Linked DNA regions of Arabidopsis thaliana. The protein of the gene in region 1 purifies or fractionates together with the protein of each later gene. This does not show direct contact. Each region holds a gene or a part of one and is shown in the gene's direction. Other genes may lie near its edges. The genes, in order: RPT1A, PBB2, PAF2 and AT1G62020.

The links.
Region 2: the proteins of RPT1A (region 1) and PBB2 fractionate together in Arabidopsis thaliana (co-fractionation; one large-scale study listed by BioGRID). This does not show direct contact.
Region 3: the proteins of RPT1A (region 1) and PAF2 fractionate together in Arabidopsis thaliana (co-fractionation; one large-scale study listed by BioGRID). This does not show direct contact.
Region 4: the proteins of RPT1A (region 1) and AT1G62020 fractionate together in Arabidopsis thaliana (co-fractionation; one large-scale study listed by BioGRID). This does not show direct contact.

The regions. Positions count from the first base shown.
Region 1 is NC_003070.9:20,063,644-20,071,638, reverse strand, and holds RPT1A (regulatory particle triple-A 1A), read left to right. Parts: upstream 1-3,138; 5' UTR 3,139-3,314; coding exon 3,315-3,401; intron 3,402-3,745; coding exon 3,746-3,827; intron 3,828-3,916; coding exon 3,917-4,008; intron 4,009-4,100; coding exon 4,101-4,178; intron 4,179-4,270; coding exon 4,271-4,332; intron 4,333-4,459; coding exon 4,460-4,604; intron 4,605-4,701; coding exon 4,702-4,920; intron 4,921-5,016; coding exon 5,017-5,198; intron 5,199-5,295; coding exon 5,296-5,471; intron 5,472-5,560; coding exon 5,561-5,718; 3' UTR 5,719-6,163; downstream 6,164-7,995. Other genes in the region: AT1G53770 (O-fucosyltransferase family protein), read left to right, coding at 3-179; AT1G53760 (K+-H+ exchange-like protein), read left to right, coding at 721-915, 1,232-1,296, 1,401-1,499, 1,637-1,684, 1,802-1,871, 1,973-2,044, 2,125-2,253, 2,340-2,480; SRF6 (STRUBBELIG-receptor family 6), read right to left, coding at 6,164-6,310, 6,388-6,547, 6,637-6,770, 6,851-6,983, 7,069-7,340, 7,428-7,714, 7,806-7,995. UniProt on the Arabidopsis thaliana protein: The 26S proteasome is involved in the ATP-dependent degradation of ubiquitinated proteins. The regulatory (or ATPase) complex confers ATP dependency and substrate specificity to the 26S complex.
Region 2 is NC_003076.8:16,246,650-16,254,086, reverse strand, and holds PBB2 (20S proteasome beta subunit PBB2), read left to right. Parts: upstream 1-3,161; 5' UTR 3,162-3,284; exon of another isoform or gene 3,285-3,527; intron 3,528-3,619; 5' UTR 3,620-3,635; coding exon 3,636-3,779; intron 3,780-4,207; coding exon 4,208-4,349; intron 4,350-4,474; coding exon 4,475-4,571; intron 4,572-4,652; coding exon 4,653-4,722; intron 4,723-4,821; coding exon 4,822-4,926; intron 4,927-5,009; coding exon 5,010-5,108; intron 5,109-5,284; coding exon 5,285-5,372; intron 5,373-5,496; coding exon 5,497-5,576; 3' UTR 5,577-5,801; downstream 5,802-7,437. Other genes in the region: AT5G40595 (uncharacterized protein), read right to left, coding at 8-166, 311-577; AT5G40590 (Cysteine/Histidine-rich C1 domain family protein), read left to right, coding at 1,774-2,478; AT5G40570 (Surfeit locus protein 2 (SURF2)), read right to left, coding at 5,836-5,917, 6,004-6,046, 6,126-6,293, 6,402-6,499, 6,581-6,601, 7,066-7,289. UniProt on the Arabidopsis thaliana protein: The proteasome is a multicatalytic proteinase complex which is characterized by its ability to cleave peptides with Arg, Phe, Tyr, Leu, and Glu adjacent to the leaving group at neutral or slightly basic pH.
Region 3 is NC_003070.9:17,316,261-17,323,229, forward strand, and holds PAF2 (20S proteasome alpha subunit F2), read left to right. Parts: upstream 1-2,858; 5' UTR 2,859-2,959; coding exon 2,960-3,310; exon of another isoform or gene 3,311-4,157; coding exon 4,158-4,640; 3' UTR 4,641-4,942; downstream 4,943-6,969. Other genes in the region: GAMMA CA2 (gamma carbonic anhydrase 2), read right to left, coding at 5,124-5,423, 6,041-6,192, 6,295-6,420, 6,681-6,824.
Region 4 is NC_003070.9:22,916,558-22,926,020, forward strand, and holds AT1G62020 (Coatomer, alpha subunit), read left to right. Parts: upstream 1-2,929; 5' UTR 2,930-3,104; intron 3,105-3,233; 5' UTR 3,234-3,256; coding exon 3,257-3,464; intron 3,465-3,568; coding exon 3,569-4,063; intron 4,064-4,223; coding exon 4,224-7,171; 3' UTR 7,172-7,467; downstream 7,468-9,463. Other genes in the region: AT1G62010 (Mitochondrial transcription termination factor family protein), read left to right, coding at 1-576; AT1G62030 (Cysteine/Histidine-rich C1 domain family protein), read right to left, coding at 7,752-9,463. UniProt on the Arabidopsis thaliana protein: The coatomer is a cytosolic protein complex that binds to dilysine motifs and reversibly associates with Golgi non-clathrin-coated vesicles, which further mediate biosynthetic protein transport from the ER, via the Golgi up to the trans Golgi network.

The DNA.
Region 1 (7,995 bases):
AGGTGGAAGCAATGTTGGATAAGACGATATGCGCATTGTCAAGCGTGTTCATTGGTGCCTCGGGCTCAACTTTTACAGAGGATATCTTAAGACTCAGAAAAGATTGGGGAACCGCTTCAGAATGCGATGAGTATCTCTGCGCAAACGAGCAGCCTAATTTTATAGCAGATCATGAATAAAAAGATTAACACGTAAATTAGTCTCTGTCTTGTGAGTTCTCATCACAAAACAGCCTAATTGTCTTCTTCTTTATGTGCATAGTTTACTAGTGTATATCATACAGTAAAAGCCATGCTACAGTTTCTTCTAATATAATCTGAGATTAGTGATGTGTCAGTTTATCATTGCTTCAGTTATAGCAAATAGTACTAACCATTTGTTATTACTGCCTTCTAATCTGTCATTAACCATTTGACATGATTGCAAATAGTACACCATTTGTCATTACTGCCTTTTAAAGAGACAACCTTTGTTATACCAAAATTTTAAGTCGATTTCAAAGACCCTTATATATAAAAACTTGTCCATATATGCCAAGAGACGCGCCGCCGCTTCTTTTCGTCTTTCCTCGTGAAATATTTTAGGCTTTGTCGGTCTCGTTACCTTAAAGTTTCGATTTTTCCTTTGAATATACGAAACCCACGTCGTTTAAAGCAATACCCAGATGACAAATTGACATTTCATAACTAAAGATCGGAGCTTTTTCGTAGTTAAGTGATCATGAGAGCGAGATTGGTGGTTTTTCCGATCAAAGGGAAGAAATGGTGTTTCAGCAGATCTGTTGACCCTTTCGCTGCTCAATCACCGTCTGGTGTTACTCCGACCACTGTACGAGGTTTATGGAAGAAGATATCATCTGAATCGAAACCCATCAATGCCAACGCAGAGCTTCTCGTCGATTTCATCTCTGACAAGGTAAAATTACATTGAAATTTTGTTCTCTCTATAGAATTCATACCCGTGTCTCTATGTGGCGTCTGAAACTTTTTTCTCTTTATAGAATTCATACCCGTGTGTTTATGTGGCGTCTAGTGAGATTTATTGGGTGTATAACATTTCGACCAATGAATAAGCTTTTGGTTCTGTTTCTGATTAAAGGTTTTTGACAACGAACCTCATTTAGGACCACTAGAAATGAGATAAAAGAATGGCTTTTTTTAATCAGTCTTCCTCCTTGATTTCTCCAATACTAAGTTTGAAGAAATGTTGTTGTTGTTGTTGTAATGGTTAGATGAATAAAGCTTGGGTGGGTCTTGAGAAAGCGCCTGATGGATCAATAAAGAACAAGATTCATGGGTTTGTAAAATCTCTACCTTTTTGTATTTTGAGACATTTCTTGAGGCTTTGGTCTTTGTTTGTTGATAGGCTTATTAATGTCAAGTTGTGGTTGGAATGTATAGGTTTGGATTGAAGCTTCTGGCTCGTGTTAAGCCTTCTGAGATTTTCTTGAAGTCTATATCTAAGGAGGTCACTTCTGTACAAGTCACTTATCCTCCGAGGTTCTATTTACTCTCCTTTTCTTGAAATTCTGTAAACTTGAGGATAAGTATCTCTCTTATGAATGTCTTCATGAGTATATATTCTGGTGAATTTGGATTGGTTATCGTTTTAGCTAATCCATGTCAAATGTTTTCAGTTTAGATCCTAGACTCGTACGCAGGAGACTACGGCACATTGCCATGAGGTAAATCACTTTGCTACCCGTTGTCTCAAATGATGAAACTTTATATCCGATTTCACGTGTAATAGATTCAGAATCCCTGTTCCTTCTAACACTTATGTTTTCTAATTGGATTTGCAGTGGAACAATCCTGCACAAGAAGTACCTAGTTGGTTCAGTTACTTTGCTTCCATTGACCAGTGCATTTATGGTATGTATAGTATGAAGCTAGCCCTCAAGAACCTTAGCAACTAACTCGTTTATTTTCATCGAATCTCATAACCACCAAACCCTTTTGTTCTTTCCAATTAGGTATTGCCATTACCAAACATACCATTCTTCTGGGTCTTATTCCGCACATATTCTCACTGGCGGGCTCTTCAGGTCTGTCATAACTTCTCGATACATACTTCCATTATCTAGAGGTTTATATAAACCCGAAATCATCTTTATTGACACTTCAGGGAAGTGAGAAGCTGCTTAAGCTCATCTCAAACGAGGCAAATCCTGATAAACCAGACTCAACTGATGATGCAGATGAAAGCAAGAACAGCAACACCAAGCCGGAACAAAAATCTCAATCTCCCACTTGTGTAAGCTGATCTATTTGTCATCAAAGATACTCAAATCAAAAGTTTTTTTTTTTGGTTCTTAATTGTCTTTGTTTACTCATAAACAGATTTTGCTTCCATCGGAAGAGTTATATCAGCTAATTCGTGAAGCTAGCGAGGAAGGACTCGACGAGGCGACCATAATAGAGATTTGCAAATCCTTTGATCTCAATAAGAACGATGTTCTTAAATATCGCAATCTAGTCTAACTCTTTTGGCATTTTAGGCTTCTTTTTTAGAACATAATTTTAGCTGTTTGAAGCTATAACTTACGCTCCAATTCTTTTTTTTTTTTGTCTTTTGATTCCTTGTTGCTTTAAAAACTTCTTTGTTACTTGGAAACAGTTGAGAATTTTGAACGAGTACAAGGTTACTCTAAACATAAAAATAAGTTTTCTCAGAACTATTGGAAAAAACAAGAGTCACAGAAAAAGGAAAAAAAGAAATGATACAAAAACAAAAAAAAACTCGAATATGGGCCGAAATTAACAGCTCAATTTACACGTGTGAGGGTTGTAGGCAATCCGGTTTATGGATTAGTTTCGGTTTAGTTAAATTTTTTTATCTAATAATTGAAACTATATAAAACCATTTGTAATTCAGTTAAGTTTGATGCAAATTCCGTTTTGGTAGGGGTATATGTTTCAATTTCGTTTTAGTTATCCGAATTTAGAAGAAGAAGAAGAAAGAAAAAAAATGGTTAACAAACAAATTCGGTTCAGTTTTGGTTGATTTGGTTGCGGTTTTTTTCGCTCAACCTAGTTTGACTGGCACGTGGGATTATTTTGATCTGACCTCTCCAACAAGACAGAAAATATGGGCCTCGCTTAAAAAGCCCATTTTACACGTGGGAGCGGCACGTGTGGTTCTTAGCTTATATCACGTCACCACGAGACTAAACGCAAATTAGAACTTCTTTACCCTTTCGAGAAAAAAGAAAAGAAAAAAGAACTTGTTTTCCTCTTCAGCAAGACACATAAATCGTAATCCATTTTCTCTCAACTTTAGGAATCTCAAATCTCCGATTTGGAAATCCGGCGACAATGGTGAGAGATATTGAAGATGAGATTAGAGACGAGAAGAATCCTCGTCCTCTTGATGAAGATGATATCGCTCTCCTCAAGACTTATGTAAGCCTTCCCCTTTTAGAACCCTAAGTTTTATTGGGGTTTTCGATTTTTACTCTTCTGATTCATCGGAGAATTCGGATCTACACTAGATTTTAGTTACTCGAATGTGAGGGTTTCGTCTCTTTGCAAACCAATTTGATGTTTCCTCCTGAGCTAGATATGTTCTTGATGAGCTTGATTTTTCTACTTGGTTCAGTTTTTTTTGCTAATTACTACTTATATGAGTGAATCTGCCTCACTGTTTGAATTTATTCCAAGTGGAAATATTCATAGTCATGCTTTGTTGTATCTGTTATCTCTCCATATGTTGTGTTGCTGACCTTGTTAAATCTCATTCTCTGCAGGGGTTAGGGCCTTACTCTGCACCTATCAAGAAAGTGGAGAAAGAAATTAAGGATCTCGCCAAGAAGATCAACGATCTATGTGGTATGTGCACACTCTTTGTTGCTCAATTGTTTGGGTTTACTTCGATTAGCTAGTGACTAAAAGGGTTATTGGTTGCTTTTATGGTTCAGGTATCAAGGAGTCTGATACTGGTTTAGCTCCTCCCAGTCAATGGGATCTTGTATCTGATAAGCAAATGATGCAAGAAGAGCAACCTCTGCAGGTAAGCATATTCTTTCTTTGATAATTCTCTGAATCGTCTTTTATTTCATGGTAACTATAAGAGATTAAAGGGTTGACGTTTTCTCTATCCAGGTTGCGAGATGCACAAAGATTATAAGTCCAAACACTGAAGACGCCAAATACGTCATAAATGTCAAACAAATTGCTAAGGTACATTAAATCCCTTAGCTGCATAACCAATTATGTGTTTTCGAACCATTTGATGTTTGGTTATACTGATTAGTTGTGGTTCTTAATTCCAGTTTGTTGTTGGACTTGGCGATAAAGTTTCTCCCACTGATATTGAGGAAGGCATGCGTGTTGGGTATGTCCTGTTCCTCACTGTATCTTTCTATGTTTTGTTTGCTTCAGTTCAATTCCTTTTGTCGTTGTAAATTTTTCATATGGATACAAATTTATGAGAACTTTCTGTCTCTGATTTATACTTGCAGAGTTGATCGGAATAAATATCAGATTCAGATTCCTCTACCTCCCAAAATCGATCCTAGCGTGACCATGATGACTGTCGAAGAGAAACCTGATGTAACTTACAATGATGTTGGTGGATGCAAGGAGCAGATTGAGAAGATGCGAGAGGTATGTTGAAATTTTGTTGATATCCCCTCTCCTTATCTTACAATGTCTTACTTAAGTTAGTGTGATGTAAGATGTTTTGTTGTCTTTGCTGATGCAGGTTGTTGAACTGCCAATGCTTCATCCAGAGAAATTTGTGAAGCTTGGAATAGATCCTCCCAAGGGTGTTCTCTGCTACGGACCTCCTGGTACTGGTAAAACTCTTCTGGCTAGAGCTGTGGCCAACAGAACCGATGCTTGCTTTATCAGGGTTATTGGAAGTGAGCTTGTTCAGAAGTATGTTGGTGAAGGAGCTAGGATGGTTCGTGAACTGTTTCAGGTAATTGATTGTGAACACTCCTTTTTGCTACTTGAGTTTGTCAAGCCAATGCTGCTATATTTTGTTCTGAATTGTATAATAATACTCTCTTTTCAGATGGCACGGTCCAAGAAAGCCTGCATTGTGTTCTTTGACGAAGTTGATGCCATTGGTGGTGCAAGATTTGATGATGGTGTTGGTGGTGATAACGAAGTCCAACGTACTATGCTTGAGATTGTGAATCAGCTTGATGGGTTTGACGCACGTGGTAACATCAAGGTTCTTATGGCAACAAACAGGTCAGTTACGATTCCCTCTTACCATCTTCAAGTAAACTACAAAACCCAATAATACTGCTTGACTCATTGGTGTTTCTGTATTAACTCTTCAATCCAGGCCTGACACACTAGACCCAGCTCTTTTACGTCCTGGACGTCTTGACCGTAAGGTTGAGTTTGGTCTACCTGACCTGGAGAGCAGAACACAGATCTTCAAGATTCACACAAGAACCATGAACTGCGAAAGAGACATCCGTTTCGAACTCCTTGCTCGCCTCTGCCCAAACTCAACGGGTATTGATGATCCCTTGACCATGAAACAGCTTTTCTGTCTTTTGGAATTTGTTCTGACTTTGGGTTTTGTAAATCTTGTCTTTTTGCAGGAGCTGATATTCGAAGTGTATGCACTGAAGCAGGAATGTACGCAATCAGAGCTAGGAGAAAGACTGTGACTGAGAAAGACTTTCTAGACGCAGTGAACAAAGTCATTAAAGGTTACCAAAAGTTCAGTGCCACTCCCAAGTATATGGTCTACAATTAGAGAGATTGAGACAGATAGAAGAACTCCGAAATAAAACTCCGAAACACTCTTTGTTCTTTGTTTGTGTCTCTTCCCTTCAAGCTCTTTTGTAGTACTTGTTTCACAACTTATTCCAGTAACTCGGGTTTATCTTCTTCAATGTCTACTACTTTTGGATTCATAAATTCTTTGTTAAGTTTTTTTTTTTTTGTGAATTCACGTCTTTTGAAATTGATAACAAGTTGATGATCAAGAATTGAACCAAGCCCAAATAGAACCAATGTAGAAGATTACAAGAAAGAATTTTGTTCATGTAAAGGATCTAGAAGCTACACCTTTGGAACATACAATTACAATAAAACAATGGGATTATACAATGTATGAGGTTGCTTTTTTCTATCTTCCAATTGTCTATGATTAACATCCGACGGAGCAAAGTGTTTGTCTTTTCTCTTGGTAGAGGCATTTACATGTAATCACTGGTCGTGTCGGCACTACCAGCACGTTGCGATGGATCAACTCCGACAGTTCTCTTGCTCATGTTAGCTCTCTGCACTAACACAACTAGAGCCTGCACAACTTCAGACATTGGTGGTCTAAACTCCGGCTCCGGCTGTTAAGAAACAAGACCCAAAATCAGTAAAAGACTTTCTTGAATTTGCAAGACTCGATTTGTGACCATTAGTTTACCTGGACACAGAGAGCGATAACATCTGCAAATCGAGAAAGGGATTTGACAGGATAAAGCCCTTTAAGAGCTGGATCAACCATTTTGGCTAAAGCATCAATGTCGTGAAGTTGTGGTGTCGCCCATCGAACCAGTGACTGCTCAGATCTTGACCTTGTGCTGCTCAAATTATAACCAGTTGTAAGATTCAAACAGAAACACATTTCTCAACTACATACATCAAGCCTAGTTTGGATCATAATAGAGTTTACCTGTCAAATGGTTTTCTCCCAGTTAAAAGTTCAAGCATCACTACTCCAAAACTGTAAATGTCACTCTTCAAAGAATATTGGCCTGACATTGATACTTCAGGTGCGCTATACCCTTCATCGGTTTGGTTTAATAACTGCACATATCAGAATGATCTAAGCAACCAAATAAGTTGAGAAATGGTAAAGAGTTTTGAGAAACGTTTGTATATCCAACCTCATTAGCTGTGGGAAGGAAGCTTGCGAGACCAGAATCTGATAAGTGAGGATTCAGCTCTGAATCGAGTAAAATATTAGCTGATTTGATATTCTTGTCCACTATAGACGGTGAGCAAACTTCATGCAGATACCTGCAAGAACAATACTTTCAGTTAACCAAAATACTCGTTTCTTTTTTAATAGTGAGCTAAGCAATGAATTGTTTATGGAATTTACTCCAATGCGCGTGCAGTCCCAAGAGCGATCTTGACTCGTGAATTCCACACCAATGCTTTACTTTCCTCTTCTGATAAGTGTAAGAAGTCATGTAATGATCCATTTTTGTGGAATTCATAGACCACGAGATGTTGTCCGTGCTCAGCACAGTAACCAACAAGCTTGGTCACATTTGGATGATCCAAATTGGCTATTTTCGATACCATTTCAATGAAATCATCGGTCATGCCATGTGGGAGAGCAGACGAATCAATTTTCTTCACAGCAAGAACCTAAAAGATAAGACGTTTTCCAACAACATTATGACATCATTCGAGACATAGAGATTAGGATTACATAACAATATTATAATATCTTACCTTTCCATCATCAAACTCAGCTCTGTATACTCGTCCAAAAGTCCCTTCTCCAAGAAGATTATCTACGCTGAAACTGCCAGTAGCAATTTGGAGATCTGCAACTGAATAGAGTCTCACATTTGAAGGAACCACCACTGTGGATTTCTTGACAGCAATAGGCTTTCTTGTCGAATCTTCATCATCAAATGATTTGTTTCTATCAATTGGTGGAGGTCGAAGATTAATAGACAATGAAGTGTCCAGTTTCTTTGTCTCAACTGATGAAGAACTCTGAATGGAATTGTTTTCTGCAACCATATGGAGTCTTAAGTTGATTTTTCTTTGTTTAAATCTTAAATTATGTTCCAAAGGCAAAATGTAATGTATATGTGTGCATACCGTGAAAGTCGTTTGAAGCAAGAGTGAAAGGCTGGTTATCGGTTTTCTCAATGTCCATGGGTGATGACCTCTTTGATTTTTTTCTTCTGAACAAGAAGAAAGCAACAAGAAGAGCTGTAACTACTAACAATGAAATGATTATGCCCGCAATTGCCCCCGCTCCGATTCCTGATTTCTTGGAATCTCCATT
Region 2 (7,437 bases), on another chromosome or scaffold:
AACCATCTTAGTTCGATTGACTCGAATCACTCGTCATGTGTCGAAACATGATTGTGCAAGTCGCTGTGTGGGCAAGATTCTTCATCATGGCGAAGACTAAAACAAGAAGCACAGTAGCCGAAAAGGTTTGAACAGTTCCTAGCTCATTCCCTATTCTCCGGAAATCCTGATCAGTTCAGAAATCCCGAGGAACACCCACGATTCGGACCCAAAATGTGATGGCCGATGGGTAGTCCTTGTGTATAATCGGTTCCCACCTTACAATAGAAAGCATCCAATGATTATAATTGAAAGTCTCCGTTTTCATCACCTCAAGAATATCTTCCTCTCTCTCGAAATCTAACCTGAACGTTCCCAATCCCAAGTCCCTCCCAACCACTTGACCCTCTAGTTTCCAGATTCTAGGCATCATCAAAACTAGTGATCCAACACTCTGAACGTCAGGATTCATAATCTTTCCGATAAGTGTCGTCCTCTTTAACCTTCTGATTAATTCCGAGTTGTCAAACATGCGAACTCGAATTGTTCTTGGCAGGGGCTTAATGCCCTTGCCATTGTTTTCTCCAAACCGCGACATGGTACCGTAAGAAACCGAGTTTGATCGTATGTAATGTCAATGTGTGAGTGTGACCTTGTCTGAATATTAATCTAATTTATAACACATAAGATCATCGGTGAAACTGCTACATGAATGAATCACAATTCGAATCATGAGGATCTCTTACATAATATTAACATAAATTGACAAGTTATTTTTGCATGATTGAATTCCATTACTGTTCCCCAGTGATTCTAATTTTTTTGACTAAGGAAACCATATCAATAATCAAGGATTCCGTAATCTGTTTATTATGACATTTCTATTACAGGATCCATTATGATTCATCCCACACGAAGATTTTCAAACTTGTGATTGTGAGCGTAACATAATCGAATCGATTACAAAGATATAAACTAACTAAAATATGTTAATTTATATTTTGTTTTTTTATATATATATATATTTATGATTTTAATAAAACAATCATATTATTTTAATGCGTTGTTGTTTTTGTTTTCACAATTCTATTATTATTTCGAGCATCTCTTATTTTTGTATCTCCACCAATTCTTTTATCATTTTTTATCATTTCTTATAAAAAAGTGTAATTCAATCATTTTACAATATAGTATGTATGCATTCCAAAAAACATTATTGTATGAAACGAAACGAAACGAAACGAAACGAAGGAGTAGACGGTGGATATCAGCCTTAATTAATTAGAGTCAAAGCATTGTGATTAGTTTGACTTTTACATCCGTCACTATGTCAACGTTAATGTATTTATCCCCAACTTGCTAATGATAGAACAATATTTATTTTGATTTATCTTGAATTTCAACAGGTTAATTAGCTAATTATAGTTATAACATTTAAAAAAAACTCAGATGCGTGAACAAGATCGCAAACTAATTCCATGCATAATGCATCTCTTGACTTTGAAATGCATTTCTTGACTTCGAATCCCAAATGAACCATTTTGTTATATACTTAATATATAATATATTATATATATATATAACTTAAAGCGTGACATTGTTCTCCCAATTATATAGTTAATCACTATAAACTACAACTTGGTTTGATAGTCAAATTCAAAACCAAGACTCAATATCACTAAGTCTTCTCCATTAACGCTATAAATAGATTGAAATCCTAAGCTAATTACAATCACAAACACAAACACAAACAAAACGCCTCTCAATACTAAATCAAGAACATTGAATAAAACAATGTCTTCACGACAATCGGTGAGGCACCCGAGTCACAACCATCCATTGCGCGGTCACAAATGCGAAGCCAAAGACGAAATCATCTGCTCCGGTTGTGATCTCGATCTGGTTGGTGCAGCTTTCAAATGCACAAAGTCATCAGATTGTGATTACTTCTTGCACAAGTCATGTTTTGAACTTCCACGTGAAACCAACCACAAATCTCACCAACCCCACACTTTGACTTTAATCTATTCCCCAAAGTCAACGTACACGTGTAATGCTTGCGGCGAATACGGATCAAGTTTCACGTACAACTGTTCAATCTGTCAGTACGATGTACATGTCGGATGTGTTTCAATGCCTGAAACAGTGAAGCGTGAAGATCACCCACATCCACTTACTCTTCTTTACGGTTCTCCTTATAACCAACCCGGTTTAGTTTCCAAATGCGATGTTTGTGAAGACATTGTACCGGATAATCTCTGGTCGTATTATTGCAAGGAATGTGATTACGCTACGCATTTACACTCATGTAAGAAAGAGGAAGAGGCAAAGAAAGAAGATCAAAAAGGAGAAGGAAGTAAAAACTCGATGAATTCGGAGTTAGCTGCAATGTTAGAGGCTCAAAGAGAAGTGGAGAGGATGCAGATTGAGATGCATTTGGCGATGCAAAGTGCTTTGATTTCGAAAAAGGCGAATAAGGCAGCTCTCAATTGCATCTAATTCGAAGAAGTTGGGATTCTTCAAATTCTCTTTACTTGTGTCTGTTTTTCTTCTTTTTGTTGCTTTTTCTTGATTTATGTTGTTGTTGCTCCTGCAAACTTTTCATGTTGTTGTTGTTGTTGTTTTTTTCTTTGAAATTGTTATCTGAAATAAAAGAATTATCAGTTTTTTTTTTTGAACGATTATTGCTGCTTTCGTTTTTGTAACCATGTTACCTTTGCATACTATGTTTCAAGTTCCATAATCCATTTTATATTACTATAGGAAAAATATATAAGTATTGGATCACCCCTACTTATAGATTAAAAATATTGGGAATAAAGTATTGAAATTGTGAGATTTGGGGTTATTTAAAGTAGTTTGTGTTAGTGTTATCGATGTGTTAATAACGGATGGTAAAATAAAATCTAAAGTTTAAGATTTAATTATATCTATATTATCAATATAGTATTAATTACATTTTATTTTATATTTCTGTCAATGTTATTTGTTCGTAAAATCAAATTGATCTCAAAACTGAATAAAAAACAAACAAATCCAGACCTTGCAAATGCAAACACACAATTAGAAGTGATGATGTCAAGAAAAACACACACACAATTAGAAGTCACATAATCATTAGGGAGTTAACAAATGGGCTCATTTTGACAGAAGTTAAGCCCATTAAAGTAAAGATAGGCCCATTTATAATAGAGCCTCAAAAATAGTTTAATTGAGGAAGAAGAAAACTCTCTGCTAAAGTTGCTTGCTTTCTTCTTCTTCTCCGATTCGAGCTTCCTTCCTCTCAGCAAAACCTTCAAGTAAAGGTAACATCACTCTTCTATAAGCTTAGATTTTTCACTTTTATTCTTCATACTGTCGTCTCCCTGGATTCTATCTTCTCGATTTTGGTGATTCGAACACGATTTTACCTATCCTTGAGCGATCTCGATCCCAACTTTTTGAGTTGATTTTATTTCAGGAGTTTTCAAAAAATCTGTTGTTAGTATGTGATTATTAGTTTCTACACTCTGTTCTTCTGGTTTCGTATCATCAGCTAGCTAGCTTTGGTTCTCGAATTTTGCTTCTCAAGATTCAAATTTCACTTCGTTACTCGTTTTTTTTTGTTTGGGTGATGATTTGATTTTTCCTCATTTTGTAGAGTGGTGAATCGGAAAATGTCGCAGTCTTCCGTCGATATACCGCCAAAAGGTGGGTTTAGCTTCGATCTGTGCAAAAGGAATGATATGCTGACACAGAAGGGTCTTAAAGCGCCGTCGTTTCTCAAGACTGGAACGACTATCGTTGGATTGATATTTAAGGTCTTTGTTTCTATCTCACATTCTCTACAATGTAATGGGTTTTGGGTTTTCTTTTATAGCTTTTGAATGGTTAGCATAGTGTTATTGTTGGATAGTGAGTGCTCTATTTTGGTTGTTTGCAAGTTATGGAACTATGGAAGTGAACATAGTGACCTAAGATTTAAGAATTGTGGGCTAAGATGCAAATGTGATTGAACTTGTGTTTGTGGATGGCTGCTTATCAGTGAATTGGGCACCTGATAGCTTTAGATAAGATAACATGAAAGTCTGAGGTGTTGTTGCTTTCTCAACCCTTGACCATATGACATCACGTTGATGTTTTTATGGTCTATTTACCTCTATATTCTACAACATTTTATGAAACATGTGATTATGATGTGACATTCTCTTTTAGATGATTACTGATTTCATTTATCTGTTTTGTATAGGATGGTGTAATACTTGGGGCTGATACACGGGCAACTGAAGGGCCTATTGTGGCTGATAAGAACTGTGAGAAGATTCACTACATGGCACCAAACATTTACTGTTGTGGTGCAGGAACCGCTGCTGACACTGAAGCAGTAACTGGTAATTTTCTTAACTTCCAAATTTCTTTACTGCTACCCTAGATCAAAGTTGAATTTCTCGGAACTTCTGTTAACTCGATCAAAACCCAATGCTTAAGTTATTTTGATTGCTATTTCACTGTTCAGATATGGTCAGCTCACAGCTGCGGTTGCATAGATACCAGACTGGCCGAGATTCTCGAGTCGTTACTGCATTGACCCTTCTCAAAAAACATCTTTTCAGGTATTTTTGCTTCACCATGCTCAGAAAATTGTTATCTTTACTAATAGGCATACATAATTTAACTTCTCAAGTATCATTCAGCTACCAAGGCCATGTCTCAGCTGCTCTTGTGCTTGGTGGAGTTGATATTACCGGGCCTCATCTTCACACGGTGAGTTTCAAATTCCTGATCAAAATTCTCAGCTGTAGAAAGCCTTTTTCAGGTTCTTTCATTTTGTATTCCATCTCTAATGTTCTGGTCAAAATGCAGATATACCCACACGGTTCTACTGACACTCTACCATTTGCTACAATGGGTTCTGGTTCCCTTGCTGCCATGTCAGTGTTTGAAGCAAAGTATAAAGAAGGTCTAACTGTAAGTAAAGCAGAGACATTTATCTTTATGTTGTTTAGATCTCTTCTTGGCTGTTTGTTTGATGATTGACTCAAATCTTCCAGAGAGATGAAGGAATCAAGTTGGTTGCTGAAGCCATATGCTCTGGTATATTCAACGACCTTGGTAGTGGTAGCAATGTGGATATCTGTGTGATCACTAAGGTTTGTCATACTCCATCTTCCTCTGCTTTTAATAGATAACTGAAGTATCTAGAAATTCGTTTGCTTCATGACTGACAGATATTAAGCTAAACCAAAGTGATTCGCTACAAAACCAGTACTCTGGATTACCTATATCTTCGATTTGAAACTGATTGTTTGAGATGATTTTGGGACAGGGGCACAAGGAATACTTGAGGAATTACATGGAACCAAACCCAAGAACCTATGTTAGCAGCAAAGGCTATTCATTCACCAAGAAAACCGGTAAGAATCTACTTGTTGCAACACTTACTCGTCTCTGGTATCAGTCATGATTATTGAAGTGTTAAACTTGGTTTAATTCGATCTTCCTCTTCTTCTTACTGTTTTTGTTTCTCTGTGAAAACAGAGGTTCTACTCACCAAAATTACACCATTATTGGAGCGAGTCGAAATTGTAGAAGTGGCTGGTGAAGCTATGGAGGAATGAATCTCGTGTGAGAGACAGATACTAAGAGTGAAACCATTGTTCTACCTCACATGACAGTCATGTTTACATTTTCTACTTTGTTCAATATGAACGACTAAAATCGAATCGTAGTTGCCTCCATTTCGTCTTTAAATTTGGCTTGAACTTGTGATTAATGATTATGGATGATTCGGTTTTGAAATTTAGCTCTCACATAATTTTCAAAAGAGCTCTTTCTTACAAACAAAATTGTGCTCTTTCTTTTTTTGTCCACAACATCTTAAGACAACTCATCATTCTTACTCTTTTTCTTCCTAGAAGCAAAGCTACTTGGTCCAATCTCTAGTGACATTCTCTTTGTTCTGTAGAAGAGACCAAATTGAGTTATTATGAGACACAATCAAAAGGATGATTGTAAAAAAAGAGAAGAGCAAATATAGTAATGTACCTTTCTGAGAGCTCTTCAGATTCTTTGTCATCACAATGAGAACCTGTACCCAAATCAGATGCAAATCTAATTAAAGTTTCGATATGAGATGACAGTAGAACCAAAAAACAAAAGAGAGCAACCTTTACAGTTTTCTTCATCAGTCTCTTCATCTAACTCTGAATCAGAACTTGACTTAGGCATCCAAAAGTCGGATTCCTCAGAACCAGAATCTTCCTTATTGTGTCTTGGATTGTTTACTTGTGTTTCCTCAGTCCTTCCGCTTGATCCAGCTCCTCTTTCCACTTGCTCTATCAAATTTATCAACATCAAAACATTATAAGCCAAGACATACTAACTAAGATTCATTACACGATTTCAATGAATCTGATATCATGGGAGAAACAATTTTTATAGACCTAATTTGTGAAGAAATCTTTTCCCATTCACGTGTTTCCAGATATGTTCCTCGTTCTTGTTCACAGTATCTCCAGTTAGCTTGCACACAAGTTTCGAGCTGAGAACATAGCCAAAAGCAGGGAGAAAGCTTATAACTTGTAACCATTTTCAATACTGGCAAAACCAGAAGAAAGCTTACAACTTTAAACCATTTTCGATGCTGCGAACAAAGCCAAAAGGCTCAAAATCAGAAGAAAGATTATAACTTTTATAACCATTTTCAATGTATTCCACACTGACTGAAATTAACAACCAATGCTCCTCAGTGGTCTAAAGAAAAAACAAAATTAACCAGCTTTTTACTAGTAGCAGAAACTATGAAGCAAGGATCTAAACGAAACTTGAGCTAATACAATCTGAAACTCTAGAGAAATCCAAAGTCACAACTTTTAGCTCTCAAAACAGTGAAAGTTTCATCCTTTCTTGCTCAGAAAACAATCGAAGTTTCACAAAATAATCAAAACAGAGAGAAACATCATAACCCTCCAAAATTAAAGCTTGAATCGTGAGATTAGTAGAATTTGTGGATGATTCAATCTTACACTCTTATAAACCTAACCCCCAACTAAAAAAATCTGATTTTCCCAGAAACACACAAAAATTTGAGAAACTTATTTGACTAACCGAGAAAGTGGGCATTGCGAGAACATGTTGAGAGGAGGCTTTCCTAGAGACAAAGCGTGATTGATGAGTCCTAAACGACACCGTTTGTTACGAGCGTATGATTCTACGTCTCCCGCTAAAACCTCGTGACCAGTCTCGACGCATCTGAGCCGTCCGTTTCCAAGATCAACGAACGTCGGAGACCCAAACAGACTCTTCCCTTCTTTCGCCTTCTCCTTCATCATCGTCACCGATTCACTTAAGCTTAAGGAAGCATAGACTCTCTCTATTATTCGTGGACAACAAAATTGAACCGAACCGAATTGTATTCAATAATTTTGTTTTGGTGTAAACGATAGCTTTACCGAATAAATTTAACCGAACGCAACCAAT
Region 3 (6,969 bases), 2.7 Mb from region 1:
TCGCATACAAAGTAAACATCTCTATATATATGGTCCGTTTTTGGCATATCTAGTGATATAAGTTAGGGTTTAAATATCAAATGCATCTGTAATTGAAAGTATGTGGTTTATAGAATTAAAAAAAAAAGAAGGAACAAATACATATATATATATATATATATATATATATATATATATATATCGTGTGTTTTATAAATAAAGCGGATTACTCATTACCTACGCATGTTTACGTTCTCATTAGTAATTGAAATCTATAAGTTATGTGGCTCATCCAGAACAACGCCATATATAGATGGCGTGTGTTTTATAAATAAAGCGGGTTACTCATTATCGTGTGTTTTAAATGCTACTCATCTCTCCTGTTATATGTGGAATCTTTTGCTACGAAGTAGGGCTACAATATATTAAGACATTTTCCGCAACAGTGCTTACAAGCTTTTAAGCCACATAATATTGAATAATTATGATTTCCCTCCAAACTCTCGAAGGGCTGCTAATCGATGGAATCTGTCGCTTCTGTAAATGTCGCATCAAACATATAACTGAATTGTATTTGAATTACATGCATAACCACAATAATTCATGTGTTTTAACATTATCGCAGACGTCATGCGCGACGTGTCGTTTATCTGGTGGATGCTTAGTGGTTATCCTATGTTATATTTATACGAAACACGTTGTTTTTGGAATTTGTTTCACCCCTTCCCCCAATGCAACATTGGAACTCGTATATAACACTGTCGCCGCATTTAATGCAATAGATACGTATCAAATATTTTCCTACGGATAGATTTACATTGTCAAATCGCAAATAAGATTTGGCGACCATATTATGTAGCAAGTTGCATACTAATGATTACTGATATAACGAAACATTGCATGTAATGTATGATCTCTATAAGTTGATACTTTGCCGAGTTTATTGCCCAATACACAATTTCCAACTCACGCCCATTGTTTTCATACAGCGTATGCATATAGGAATTACATGTGTTGTTTTTAAATAACATTCTATGTTACAGTTACCATTGACCTTTTTATCTGTTAGTCTCCATTGAATAACTAGTCGCATACAAAGCAAACATCTGTATATATATATGGTCCGTTTTTGACATATTTAGTGATATAAGTTAGTGTTTAAATATCAAATGCATCTGTAAAATCTAAAAGGTATGTGGTTTATAGAATTAAGAAAAAAATGAACAAATACATCTATATATATCGTGTGTTTAATAAATAAAGCAGGTTACTCATTATCTACGCATGTTTATGTTCTCATTGGTAATTGAAATCTATAAGTTATGTGGCTCATCAGGAACAAAAACATATATAAATGGCGTGTGTTTTATAAATAAAACGGGTTACTCATTACCTACGCATGTTTATGTTCCCTACATATAGACACCTAGTGTCGGAACTCACGAGTTCCCGTCTATTTTTCCAGGTTATTTTGGTTATTTTACACCCCAAGAAAAAACTATTTACTAAAGTTTTCTGACGTATGACTATTTTGCTAATTTGTATGTCGAATTTGGCTAGTTAGCTAATTGACACAATTTTAATACTCTTTGTTTCCAACCAAATAATACAAGATTTTATCAAAAACAAAATATCAAATTAAAAATCTAATAACATGTGACTTTATTTGTTTAGATTTCTAAATTAATTTTATTCCAAACCAATTTAAACTACACATGCTAAATTATTAATTTTCATAAAATTAGAAATAATAAAATACAATAACTTGTAATTCCCTCTAGTCCATGAAGTTTGATGTTTTAAATTTTACTTTTGTTTCACAAAAGTTGATGTTTTAAATTAATATTATTTTCATTAGTGATCAATAGAGAAAGGAAAAAAAGTAGAACTGATATTATTAAATTAATTAAAAAAATAATAAATGAATTATAAACACGAGAGGGAGGCAAGAAAAAACTACTACAACAAGAGCACCATCATCGGAAAATACTTCATGGAGAAAACCGACAGTTTCTTTTGTCAAGTGCAATTTCGATGCGGACTTACACAGGAATAGTACTTAAAGTACGGGTGGATGGATTATACGAGACCATGAAGGGATAGCAAACACATGAGGATCTTCAATTTTAGATCATGTCAACACTCTCCTAAAGGCTGAGACGAAAGCGTTACTTGTGGCGATGCAACAAATTTGGATACAAAAATACAAGAAAGTACAATTCCAAAGAGATTGCGAAGTCCTCATTAAAACCATCAATGGCAAGTCTAATAGAAGTAAAATTGCTAATTTACTTCTAGATTTAGAGTATTGGTCTTCAGATTTTCATCTATTGTATTTACTTTCACAAAACGTCTTTGTAATAGTATAGCTCACCATTTAGTTTTCCTAATTTTACGATTTTTGTGTTTTAAGCGGACTATTTTGCTTCCCCAATTTTTACGATTTCTGTGTTCAAAGCAGACTTTAGGAACGAGCCAATTTGGTTCAAAAACCTTCTCTGTAATGATCTACATTCATAGATTAAAACATAGTTTGCAGTAAGAAAAAACAATAAAAATAATATAAAAGTTATTTTTTTTAATTTGTGAAAAATCCAAAATATCATTGTTTTAGGATCAGAGGGAATAGTAAATTTATAATCAGTGTAGTGAAAAATGTGTAAATAAATAATGTAAAACCAATTGAAACTGCAAATGTTAAATTATGAATTAAATTAATTACTATAAAAAGAAATAATATAATGCTAAGTATTTATTTATAAAATTATAATCCTTTTAAATGTGTAAAAAATAATAAAGAGTAATGGATAATTAAACCCAGCCCATTAAGTTTCATAAGCCCATTTTACTCTACTGTCTTCTTTCTCTTTTTTTTGACAATCTTTACTTTCTTCTTCTAAGCTCTATAAGAGAGACCATCCTCCTCTAGCTTGAAGCAAACGAAAAGCTTTTGAAGAACAGAGGAACAAGAAGAAGAAAGATGTTCAGGAACCAGTACGACACAGATGTGACAACATGGAGTCCCACAGGTCGACTATTCCAAGTCGAATACGCCATGGAAGCTGTGAAACAAGGCTCCGCAGCAATAGGACTCAGATCTCGCTCTCATGTCGTCCTCGCTTGTGTCAACAAAGCACAATCAGAGCTCTCTTCTCATCAAAGGAAGATCTTTAAAGTCGATGATCATATTGGTGTTGCTATTGCTGGTCTCACTGCTGATGGTCGTGTTCTCTCTCGATATATGAGATCTGAGTCTATTAATCACTCTTTTACTTATGAGTCTCCTCTTCCTGTTGGTCGTCTTGTTGTTCATCTTGCTGATAAAGCTCAGGTAAATTGAGATTTTTGGGTTAACTTTTGAATTTTGACCTAGAATTTGCTAAAGGGTTTAGTTTTATGATGTGTGAGTATCTGAAAGTTTGAAGCTTTATGTAATTGGAGTAAAGTTTAGGTTTTTATTAGCAATGTGGCCAATTTTATTTGTAGAATGTGTGTGTTGTTATGCAAGTAGTGATATTGGTTTGTGATCAAGTCTTAGTGATTGGGAATTAGAGATTCTTGTGTTGTTAATCATATCCAGTTCTGTTGCTAGTTGCTTAATCCGATTAGAAAGAGTTAACCTGTATACCCACTTTGACGATAGAAGTGTATAAGAATGTGATGATTTTGGTCGTTTGGTTGTTTCTGTGTTGTCATCGTCTGTTCTCTTTGCTTGATAGAGTTGTTTTTGCTTGCAATTCTAGAATAAATATACGTCTTTGTTGATCTCTTTTTGGTTTTGTGGTTTTGACTTGTATTACTTTGCATTTGTTTACTTACTTGTAGTTGTAGTATGTCCTGGCCACTTTATTTACTTGCCTAATGAAGTATATTTTCAGTAAGATGTTGGTTTACAGTTGTGATAGAAATTTGTGCTACATGTTCACTACTTTTGGTGTTAAACGTAGTGTTCTCAAGTTAGATGATGTGTTCACAATTTTTAAAAGGTTTGATTGCTACGTCCCACTTACTTTCATGTCTGTCAAAAATTAAGTTAGCTGCTGTATCTACATTTTCAATTGATTTCTGAGAACGTATTGATATCAGTCTTGTAGTTTGAACAACACTCTGATTTCATTCAAATGTTAAGTCATTTGTTTGTCTTGTATTAAACATCTTCATAAATTATCTTTGAGCAGGTATGTACCCAACGATCATGGAAACGGCCTTATGGTGTGGGTTTGCTGGTAGGTGGATTGGACGAGTCAGGAGCTCACCTCTACTACAACTGCCCTAGCGGAAACTACTTTGAATATCAAGCATTCGCTATCGGGTCTCGTTCACAAGCTGCGAAAACCTATCTGGAGCGCAAATTCGAGAGCTTCCAAGAATCATCAAAAGAAGATCTGATAAAAGATGCTATTATGGCCATAAGGGAAACTTTGCAAGGGGAAACACTGAAGAGCTCGCTCTGCACTGTTTCTGTTCTAGGAGTCGATGAACCATTCCATTTCTTGGACCAGGAAAGCATTCAAAAGGTGATTGATACGTTTGAGAAGGTTCCTGAGGAAGAGGAAGATGCTGGTGAGGGTGAGGCCGAACCCGAAGCTGCTCCTGGTGCTGCTGGAACTGGTGAACAAGGTGGTTCAGGTGATCAAGATGTTGCACCAATGGAAATTTGAGCAAGAGGGAATGAGTTCAAAGTTGGATTTTCTAACCAATTTTCTTGTGTGTAGCTCTTTGATATGTTCCAACTTCCAAGTACAATTGTGGTTTTTATTCGGCTTTGTTTATTTAACAGCTTGGAACAAGGAGTTATTGAGTGCCACTAGCTTATGTTTAGTCCTACTTAAGTCAAATCTGTCACATGATAATAATAATCGGCGAATCGCCAACCTAGAGAGTGTATCAAACAGACACCATTTTGAATGAGAGAAACAGCGAGAGAAAGAATGAAAGATTAATCCAACTTTGTTTCTCTTTCTGCAAATTGTTCCTCGAAGAAATGACTTCATAATGCAACCATACATTATTGAGCAAGGATGATAAATCTCCTGCTTGCTCGGAAGAAAAGTTAAAACCAAAATAATATCTCTCTTGACCTTCCAGAGAATCAATCCTGTCTTGAAATGATTTCAACACACAAAAACAACCTGAGATTGGAATTAGAAGTACTGAGTAGACGGAACCTTGGCGACGGGTTTACCACCTGGTAAGACATTGTCGGGAAGAATCAACTCCGGTGGAGTTTCACGGGTAATCCCAAGCATTGAATCGTAATCCTCGTCCTTGCGTGCATACTTCTTCCTAAGCGCTCTCTCAACCTCGATCTGCTCAAATGACTTTGAATTCTCTGAGGCGTGAATCTGTGCGAGATTGATGTAATTCTTTGCTGACTGTGAGATGTATACTATCTCTTCATCTGTTAACTTTCTCATGAACTTTGCTGGATTTCCTCCCCACACCTGCCACATGAAACTGATAACTTATAGATATGTCCTTGTAAATATATTCTCAGGTTGACGGTTGAAGAAAGTAGTTCAAAAGCATAGCGATATAAGAAATCCGTCTAATTCCTCATAAAACATTGGAAACACAAGAACCCTCTGTTACTCCCAACTCACCCTTGTTTCATATACAAGTAGAATTGCAACGGAAACAAAGGTGGTTCTCAGATTTAGACGATATATAAATACTATTTACTCTTCTTTTTGATCAAAATATAATACAATTTACAGGCATATCATTTCATTAACTAATTCTGTATCAACTAAATTGTAAGCAAAGCAAAAGTGGATCTACTTGAAGAAGTTCAGCTGGTCAAGCCTTAGCTACAGGTCAGCGTAGGACTAAATGCAGCAGACTACAGCTGCTATTACTTGGTTAATTAGCAGTTCGTTATTAGGCTTGGTAGAGCTTCAGGGTCCGTGATAAGTAAACCTAGCTAGAGTTCTATTTTTGGTTCTTGATACTTTGGATTTTCTCGTTCAGTTTAGTGAGAAATAAAGCAGTTTCCAGTTCCAGTCTTATCACAAACTCCGTAAGCAGTAAACCAGAAAAGATAAAGTGGAAAGAAAGAAACCTCTCCAGAAGGGATTCGCGTGTTCTGTTTCACAAGAGAACCAGCAGCAACCATGGCATGTTTCTCAACCACCACACCATCAAGTAGTGTTGCTCCCATACCAACAAAAGCATCATCCTCAACAGTACACCCATGAATGACAGCACTGTGACCTGCTCCGTTTCATTTTACAAACAAAACCTTTAACTAACAATCGTGTAACACAACATAAAAACAGATACTTCAAAACTGATAAATCGCTTTTTAAGGTTTACCTACTGTTACATTGTCCCCAATCAGAGTAGGTAGAACCTTGCCACTTATGTTGGTCTTTGCAACATGTACAAGCGTATTATCTTGGATATTCGTCCCAGATCCAACACTGATGTTATTCACATCACCTGCACAAGTTAGAAACCCAGATTAACATACAATAAGTTTCACAGCTACTTCATGACACATTTTATCGACAGTACAATAAATCTATGTCCAATGATCAGGACAGTAACGTATAACAGCGATACAAGATTATTAGAAGGTAAAGAGAACTTCATTTCCTAAAACTAAACTATGACTACTTTGCACAATATACTGCTGCAAAATTTGGTACTTCTATCGAACCAAAGGCCATTAAGACTTTCTAGAAGTAATAAAGCCTCACCTCGAAGAACACAGCCATACCAAATCGACGAGCCTTTTCCGATCTGAACATCACCAATAACAGAAGCACTCGGAGCCACAAACACATCTTTATCCACCAATGGTGATTTATCAAACACATTCATCAACGTCCGATGCCTCGACACTGAAAACAAACACAAATTTCTCGAATCAAATTTTTTCAATCTAAGCCACAAATTTCTCCAATCAAAGGTGAAGACACAAATTAGAGATAACGAATTGGATCTAGGGTTTCAATAGAGAGTATTAAGTGGAAGGATCTGGAAGCT
Region 4 (9,463 bases), 2.9 Mb from region 1:
ACGTTTGTGCACGCTTTGCATATGCTTTACCAAATGAGCGACAAAACGATTGAAGAAAAAATCCGAGTCTATAGAAGTGTAGGTTTCTCTGTTGATGATGTATGGGCAATGTTCAAGAAGTGGCCACGCTCTTTGACACATTCGGAGAAGAAGGTAGCCAACTCTATAGAAACATTTCTAGGTCTAGGATTCAGCAGAGATGTGTTTATGATGATGTTCAAGCGGTTTCCTCCGTGTATTGGATATTCTACAGAGGCGGTGAAGAAGAAGACTGAGTTTTTGGTCAAGGAGATGAATTGGCCAGTAAAGGCTGTGGCTTCAATCCCTCAGGTACTTGGATACAGCCTAGAGAAGAGGACTGTCCCAAGGTGTAATGTTATCAAAGTTCTCATGTCAAAAGGATTGCTTGAAAGTGAACTCCCTCCAATGTCTTCTGTTTTGACAAGTACTAGTGAGTCGTTTTTAAATTTGTATGTTAGCAAACATGATGACAAGCAGCTTGTGGCTGAGCTGATGGCAATCTTCACCGGAAATCGTGTTTCACTCACCGATCAGAAGGCACGCCTAGAACAATGAGCAACGTTAAGGATTGTTTTTTGTTTTCTGTTAGGTTTAGATTCATTAGTGAGTCTTGTTGCTTGACTTTTGGAAGTAGATAATAGATTTTGTGTATGAGTGTCTAAGCCTTTGACCCTGAAGGATGATGAATCAGTCTTGTATGAAAAAAATCTTTACAATTATCTTTCTTTGTCTTGTTGATATGAATTATGGTTAAGATCTTTGTGATGTGCTTTGTTCTGTTTTGGAAATTAAACAGAGCATATGATATATTTCATTTTACTAGTTTCGTGGCAGAAATCTTTCCTGTTTCGCAGGATTTGGTAGACAACTCTGAGGAGTAAGATCCACTCGCAAACGATGGAACGGTTTATTCAAATTCCTAGTTTGCTTTTTCTACTTGAGTCCTTAAGTTTGTATTAGAGTCTTCAGTATACTTCATACCTTCTTGTTCAACCCAATTCCAACTCTTCAGTCTCTGCTACATCTTCAAACTCCATCAAGCCTCAAACTAATAATCTTTCAAGTGAGATTATAAATCTTCAAGCTTCTTGGATTGGATATATCAATAGACTATAAAAGCTAGTAGAAAAGAGTAGAAAAGCTAGTTGAGGATTTATAATAAGGTAAATAAGTAGAAAAGACTTTTATAGTCTATTGATATATCCAATCCATTTACTTGATCCATCTCTGTATGCAATCTGACTGACAAATTGTAATTGTTAAACTCTTTTTTACTAGCTTTTTTTAACTCTTCAACATTAAAAGTCTAGAAACAGAAGACAACTATTTACTACATGATATTTTTGGTTATTTGTTAACAAGAAGCACTGTGGTAAAGCAGCCGAGGATGAATAATTTTAGTGTTTGTTTGATGAGTGTTAATCTTCATGGAATCCATAACCACAAAGATTTGGTTGATCCATCTATATAAAGCAAATAGGTGTAGTTAATCAATTCAAGGTCTTTTAGTGTTATCCCTTGCCAAGGAGGGCAACACTAGAGTCTAGAGTTTCGTTTTCCACTTGAGTCCTTCTGTTGGAGACAGTGTCTTCATTACACTTCCTAACCGATTCCAAAGCTTCAAATTTCATCAAACCTGCAACATAATGATGACTTCACAATGGTGTCGAGTGAGCTCCATTAAAACATGTATAGGCCTAGGATTCAGCATAATGATGATCAAGCGCTATCTTGAGTGCATTGTAATTTGATGAAAGAAGTTGACTTGACCAGTGGCAACTAGAGGCTGGAGAAGAGGATTGTCCCAAGTTATAACCTAATCAAAGCTGGTACGTCTCGAAGCATGATGATAAGCTGGTATTGGAGATTACTGTTTTTGCTCCAAGGAATGTCATATCAAGAAACTGTGCATTGTTCTTGTACCTCGCTAGCATCTTCCTTTGTTGGTTACATGGTTTGCTATTCCAACCAAGCTCTGGTACTATAAGGCAAAAGGAAAGGAGAAGGAGACCATTAACTAGTCTATATTACAACAATACATTATATGTTTCGTGGATATCTCTTTTTCTTATCTTCTCTGCTGTTTTCCTTTCTTTTGTAAAGATTGTTCTTTGAACATGAATCAATACACTTTAGAATCTATTAAGATAGCAAATAAGTTGATGCAAAGAGCAAGTGTGAGATGGATAATTGAACGGGAGTGAATGAACCTGTCACTAGATCTCTAATGGTTGTTGTTACCTCCTGGCTCCTCCTCAGCTGCCTAAACTGCGTTTAGCTCGGCCGCCTATCACTTTTTTTTTGTGTGTAGGTTTGATTGGTCTCTCTCATTCAGAATCATATGATCAATTTGTTTTCAAGTTTTGCAATGTTTTTGAAAACATTACATTTACGCTAATTGGATTTTTAAACTCGATAACCGTGATTACAAATAGAGACGTAATATTTTTTAGATTATTTCTCATGTTTTTTTGTGATTTGTTCATCTTATGCATAATTTATTTTTCACTTATGTTCAACAATAGTATACAAAAATTTAGAAATGCTCATCATATATAAAATCACTTTTGACGTTCTGAGGCTCCAATCTATTAAAAATAAACGATATAGATGATAATATATACGTCTTTTAATCAAGTGAATGAATATTTAGTTTTTTTTTTTTTAATAGGCTTCACTTTGTTTCTTACTCAGTTTAATTTTTATTTGGTTTTTATAAAATTACAACTTAGTTTTAATCAAAGGTTCTAAATTAAATTTGACCAAAAACATAAAAAAATAATTACGTAAGAGCTTTTTTGGCAGAAAATAATTTAGAGTAATTATTTATTCCTTCGACGTTAAAAAAGAATAGGAAAAAATATGTTTAAATTGCATCATTCGACCAATAAGATTAGAACTCATCCTTTTTTTTTTTAAGGATATATAGAATTCATCACTGAATACATGTTTTTATCCCAAATTAACGCAAAAGAGAGAACTCGAGATCTGGGCATAGCGACTCACTCAGATCTATACACCTTCTTCTTCTTCTTCTTCTTCCTCTTCCTCTTCGCTTCGTTCGTAAACTCATCTGATCTGTGGTAACCACCATTGTTCCTCTCCTTACGATTTCGAATTTCTGTTTTGATCTCACTACCATTGTTGCAATTTAGATCTATTTCTAATTGTTCGTGATTCGCTTTTTTTTTTCTGTGATCTGGTTTTTGTAGAGTGCCATTATCGTTGAGAGATTATGTTGACAAAGTTCGAAACCAAAAGTAACAGAGTTAAGGGACTGAGTTTTCACCCTAAACGACCATGGATTCTCGCGAGTTTGCACAGTGGCGTGATCCAGCTCTGGGATTATCGTATGGGTACTTTGATCGATAGATTCGACGAACACGAAGGACCTGTTCGTGGTGTTCATTTCCACAATTCTCAGCCTCTCTTCGTCTCCGGAGGTATATATAATTCGGAATCATTGTTAGTGAAATCGTATAAGCTCAAAAGAATGGATCTATACATGATTTGTTGCATTACAATGATGTTGATCTTGATATTGCAGGGGATGATTACAAGATTAAAGTGTGGAACTACAAAAACCACAGGTGCCTTTTCACTCTTCTAGGGCATCTTGATTATATCCGCACGGTTCAGTTCCATCATGAGTACCCATGGATTGTGAGTGCAAGTGATGATCAAACTATCCGTATATGGAACTGGCAATCACGGACTTGTGTTTCTGTATTGACTGGTCACAATCATTATGTTATGTGTGCTTCTTTCCATCCGAAAGAAGACCTCGTCGTATCAGCTTCGTTAGATCAGACTGTTCGTGTTTGGGATATTGGTGCTCTTAGGAAGAAGACTGTATCTCCTGCTGATGATATCATGAGGTTGACTCAGATGAATAGTGATCTTTTTGGTGGAGTTGATGCCATTGTCAAGTACGTTCTTGAAGGTCATGATAGAGGTGTAAACTGGGCTGCTTTTCATCCCACCCTGCCTCTTATTGTCTCGGGTGCAGATGACCGCCAAGTAAAGCTGTGGCGTATGAATGGTAATTATTTGGTGGTATACTTTTGTGCTTACAATTTTTATATGCTATCAATCGTCAATGATGTTACTGATATGAAAATATTCTGCATGCCTTAATCCTTAGATGAATCTCGAAATTGCAAAGACGAGTTGGTAACATGTTTTTAACGATATCATTGCAGAAACTAAAGCTTGGGAGGTGGATACATTGCGAGGCCATATGAATAACGTTTCATCTGTTATGTTCCATGCAAAACAGGACATAATTGTATCAAACTCTGAAGATAAGAGCATCCGTGTCTGGGATGCTACCAAGCGAACTGGACTTCAGACTTTCCGTCGTGAACATGATAGATTCTGGATTCTTGCAGTTCACCCTGAGATGAATCTACTAGCAGCAGGACATGACAGTGGCATGATTGTGTTCAAGCTTGAGAGAGAACGTCCTGCATTTGCTTTGAGTGGGGATTCTTTGTTCTATGCCAAGGATAGATTCTTGCGGTACTATGAATATTCAACTCAAAGGGATTCCCAAGTTATCCCTATACGGCGTCCGGGTACTCCAAGCTTGAATCAAAGTCCTAGGACTCTATCATACAGTCCCACTGAAAATGCAGTTTTGATCTGCTCAGATCTGGATGGTGGTTCGTATGAGTTGTACATCATACCGAAAGATAGTGTTGGCAGGAGTGACGTTGTGCAAGATGCAAAGAGAGGGACAGGTGGCTCTGCAGTATTCATTGCCCGTAACCGATTTGCTGTTCTCGAGAAAAGCACCAGCCAAGTGCTAGTCAAGAATCTAAAGAATGAGGTGGTTAAAAAGAGTCCTCTGCCTATTCCCACAGATGCTATCTTTTATGCTGGGACTGGGAATTTGCTTTGTAGATCTGAGGATAAAGTAGTTATCTTTGACCTCCAGCAAAGGCTTGTTCTTGGTGAGCTTCAGACACCATTTGTTAGGTACGTTGTTTGGTCCAGTGATATGGAGAGTGTTGCTTTGCTCAGCAAACATACTATCATTATCGCGAGCAAAAAACTTGTTCTCCAGTGCACGCTTCATGAGACGATACGTGTGAAAAGTGGAGCTTGGGACGATAATGGTGTCTTCATTTACACAACTTTGAATCATATCAAGTACTGTCTTCCTAATGGAGATAGTGGAATCATCCGAACCCTGGATGTCCCAATCTATATCACCAAGGTGTCTGGTAATACAATCTTTTGCTTGGATCGGGATGGCAAAAACAAGGCTATCACCATTAATGCAACCGAGTACATTTTCAAGCTTTCACTGCTGAGGAAGAGATATGATCATGTCATGAGCATGATAAAGAACTCTCAGCTATGTGGACAGGCTATGATTGCTTACCTGCAGCAGAAAGGATTCCCTGAAGTTGCCCTCCATTTTGTTGAAGATGAGAGGATCCGATTCAATCTGGCTCTTGAAAGTGGCAACATCAGTGTGGCTGTTGCATCCGCTACACAGATTAACGAGAAAGACCACTGGTATAGACTTGGAGTGGAGGCTCTTCGCCAAGGTAATTCTGGAATTGTTGAGTTTGCATACCAGCAGACAAAGAACTTTGAGAGGTTATCTTTTCTTTATCTCATTACTGGAAATTTGGACAAGCTTTCAAAGTTGATGAAGATTGCAGAAGTGAAGAACAACGTAATGGGACAGTTTCACAATGCTCTCTACCTAGGAGATGTTAAAGAGCGTGTTAAGATACTGGAGAATGCTGGTCATTTGCCTCTAGCTTATATCACAGCTTCGGTTCATGGTTTAAATGACATTGCTGAGCGACTGGCAACTGAGTTAGGAGACAACGTGCCCTCATTGCCTGAAGGAAAAACTCCATCGCTTCTAATGCCACCGACACCCATCATGTGTGGTGGTGATTGGCCTCTTCTTAGAGTGATGAAAGGAATATTTGAAGGAGGACTTGAGAGTGCAGACAGAGGAGGTACTGTTGATGAAGAAGATGTTGAAGGGGATTGGGGTGAGGAACTTGACATTAATGTTGATGGAATGGAGAACAGAGATATTGAAGACATTTTGGCGGCTGCAGAAGCAGGTGAAGAAGAAAACGATGAGGAAGGTGGATGGGGACTTGAAGACTTGGTGCTCCCACCAGAGCTTGACACTCCTAAAGCCTCTGCTAATGCACGTTCATCTGTTTTTGTGACACCTCCCCAAGGTATGCCCGTAAGTCAGAGCTGGAGCCAGAAATCTTCTCTTGCTGCTGAGCAAGCCGCAGCGGGAAGCTTCGACACTGCAATGCGTCTGCTCCACAGACAGCTTGGTATCAAGAACTTTACACCTTTGAAATCGATGTTTCTAGATCTGTTCAATGGCAGCCATAGCTATCTGCGTGCTTTTTCTTCATGTCCTGTGGTTCCACTTGCCATTGAGCGTGGATGGAGCGAGTCTTCCAGTCCCAACGTCCGTAGCCCACCAGCTCTTGTTTATGATTTCTCTCAGCTAGACGAGAAGCTCAAATCCGGCTACAAAGCTACAACAACTGGGAAATTCACTGAGGCTCTCCGTCTCTTCCTTTCTATCCTGCACACCATCCCTCTAGTGGTAGTCGAGACAAGAAGAGAAGTGGATGAGGTCAAGGAATTAATCGTTATCGTTAAAGAATATGTCCTTGGTCTTCAAATGGAGCTCAAGAGGAGAGAGATGAAAGATGATCCGGTGAGGCAGCAAGAGCTCGCTGCTTACTTCACTCACTGCAACCTCCAAACACCTCACTTACGGCTTGCGCTGCTTAGTGCAATGGGTGTCTGCTACAAGGCAAAGAACCTCGCCACTGCTTCTAATTTCGCCAGAAGACTGTTGGAAACAAGCCCAGTTGATAGCCAAGCCAAGATGGCTAGACAAGTTGTGCAAGCCGCTGAACGTAACATGACCGATGAAACAAAGCTTAACTACGACTTCAGGAACCCTTTTGTGGTATGTGGTTCCACATATGTCCCGATCTACAGAGGACAGAAAGACGTCTCATGTCCTTACTGCACCGCCCGGTTTGTACCAAACCAGGAAGGAAACATCTGCACGGTCTGTGATCTAGCAGTGATTGGCGCAGACGCATCTGGTTTGTTATGCTCTCCATCTCAAGTCCGGTGATCAATTTCAGATTTCATAATCAATACAGAGATGCTCTATTAACAGAATAAGAGTGTTGAACTTTTGGTGTTTTTGTGATTGTGTACTTACCAATCAGGTTTGAGGATTTTTCTCGTTGCAGGTTTTTATTACTCTTTTAAAAGTTGTTTCTTATCTTTTAGTACACATGAGAACTTTAGCTTCTTGCTTTATAATTTCTCTTTTTGATGCATAGTAGCACTGGATAACTTGTAATTTCAATTTCGGAAATTATGGTTTACTTGTGAAATTATGATTTTATAAATTCTCCAAATTTTTGAATTTTGTGAGTGTCGTTCCTAATTACAAATTTATCTACAACGAAATGTACCGATAAAGTCCAATGTATTTTTTTAATTGAACCGATAGTAAACCAAATTGTTTAGTCAACTAACTGTAGTTCTAGGGAAAGATAACACTGTAACATGTTGATTGCTAAATAGTTTTTTCTCCTTGCATGTTTTATCAATCGAGCTTTTATAAAAAGATTGATCCGACAGAACCCGACGCAACTAAACCGATAGTAACACAAAAACAGAGACACATCAGAGAACACTAATCTCTACGTCAGTGCTGAGAACTCATAATTTCCGTAGCCTCTCCGTTGTAGATATTCGCGATGACCAGCTGTGTTCACCTTTGTAGACAAAAAATAACCAACACAAGATGTGGAACAAAATTTTGAACCAGACGACTCCAAAACTATTTTGTGTGGACAACGCTTCTTGCAATGAGAGCAAATAGGTCGAGTCATATGATGATCGTTGGCCCGAACATATATCTTCTCTCCATTGAAGGAGAAGCTTATCCAAGATGAACCAGGCTTCACGTATAAATCCTGCCCAAGCAGACATTCAATGTGTAGGGTGACGCAACAGTACTCACCACACGTATAAAACCGCTCCTTTGGGTCTATCTCTTGCTCGCAAATATCACACCAATAAGTCGTGATGCATGTCTCCTCGCCATAAGAAAGAGTGAGCATATGTTTATCATGCTCATACCTTACCTCTTGAGGTAAAGTGGCGCATCCAAAACACAAAGCAAAGTAGTCACACTCAATGCAATTGAATGTTTCGTTTGTTGAAAACTGTTCTAACTTTTTGCAAACGGAACATCTTCTTTGCTCTTCTGGTTTCGATGTTAGGAATAAAGAATGTTCATGACTTTTATGGACTAATGGCTCAGACATTGTGGCGCACTGCACATGTAGCTTGAAAAGATATTCATCTTTATCCTGTTGTTCACACTCATAGAAGAAACCGGCTTTGCACTTCCAAGGACAAGCTGAACATGGATCAACACTATGTTCCACAAGACCCCGAGATCCTACTTTGAGAGTGAGCATATGTGGATGTATCGGATGATGCATTTTGCGAGAGAGATTTGCACATTTTTCGTGGAGAATATAATCACATTGCATACATGAATAGAAGTTACCGGAATAGATTGGCATGATGCATGCTTGACACAACTTATTCACGTCGTAATCTCTACCCGTGTTCTCATCAAGTCTCAAATGATGATGTTGATGACTAAAATGCTCGATGATTCGATCACTTATCCTCACAAACGGCGGTTCAACTTTTTCATCTTCTTCTAGTATTCCCTCAAGTTCTTTACCGTCCCACACGTTCTTTTGTGTGGCACATTTTGAATGAGCCACATATGAACAACCTTCCTTGATGCAAGAATAACCACCGTAATCATTGTCGATCTTTCTACGACAAACACAACAAGACCAATCTCCTTGACCAAAAGAATGGTTAAAAGAGATACGATGAGGATGGCGAGATATCCTTATGACACGCGGTAAGCTGATACACCTTTGATGAGCCACAAAGTCACAAGGGGGACATATATAGAAAGGACAGCTTGTATGTGTCAACGAACATAGGCTGCAAGCAAAGGGAGTCTGTCTTGGAAACAGAGCAAGAGTATGCTCATGCCATTTGGAATGGTCTATAGAATAGACCGGAGGTTTCTCCACACAAGCTATGTTCATAGCATAGTCGCAAGCTGAGCAATAATAAAATATCTCTTGAAGACTTACATCACAACAATAGCACTGCCTCGTTTCATTAGACTTTCGCAACAAAGCAAGCCGAAGAGAATGTCTTGGATGAAGAGGGTGTTTGATCTCAACTGGAGCCTTGTTGTTTTCGTTATGGTTCTTGCCGTTGCAACCTCGGCAGAAAAAATGGGTAGCATCTTGTTCTGGTGACCTGAACTTCAGCCAGAATAAAGGGAAACAACACCACTTGTCATTGGTTT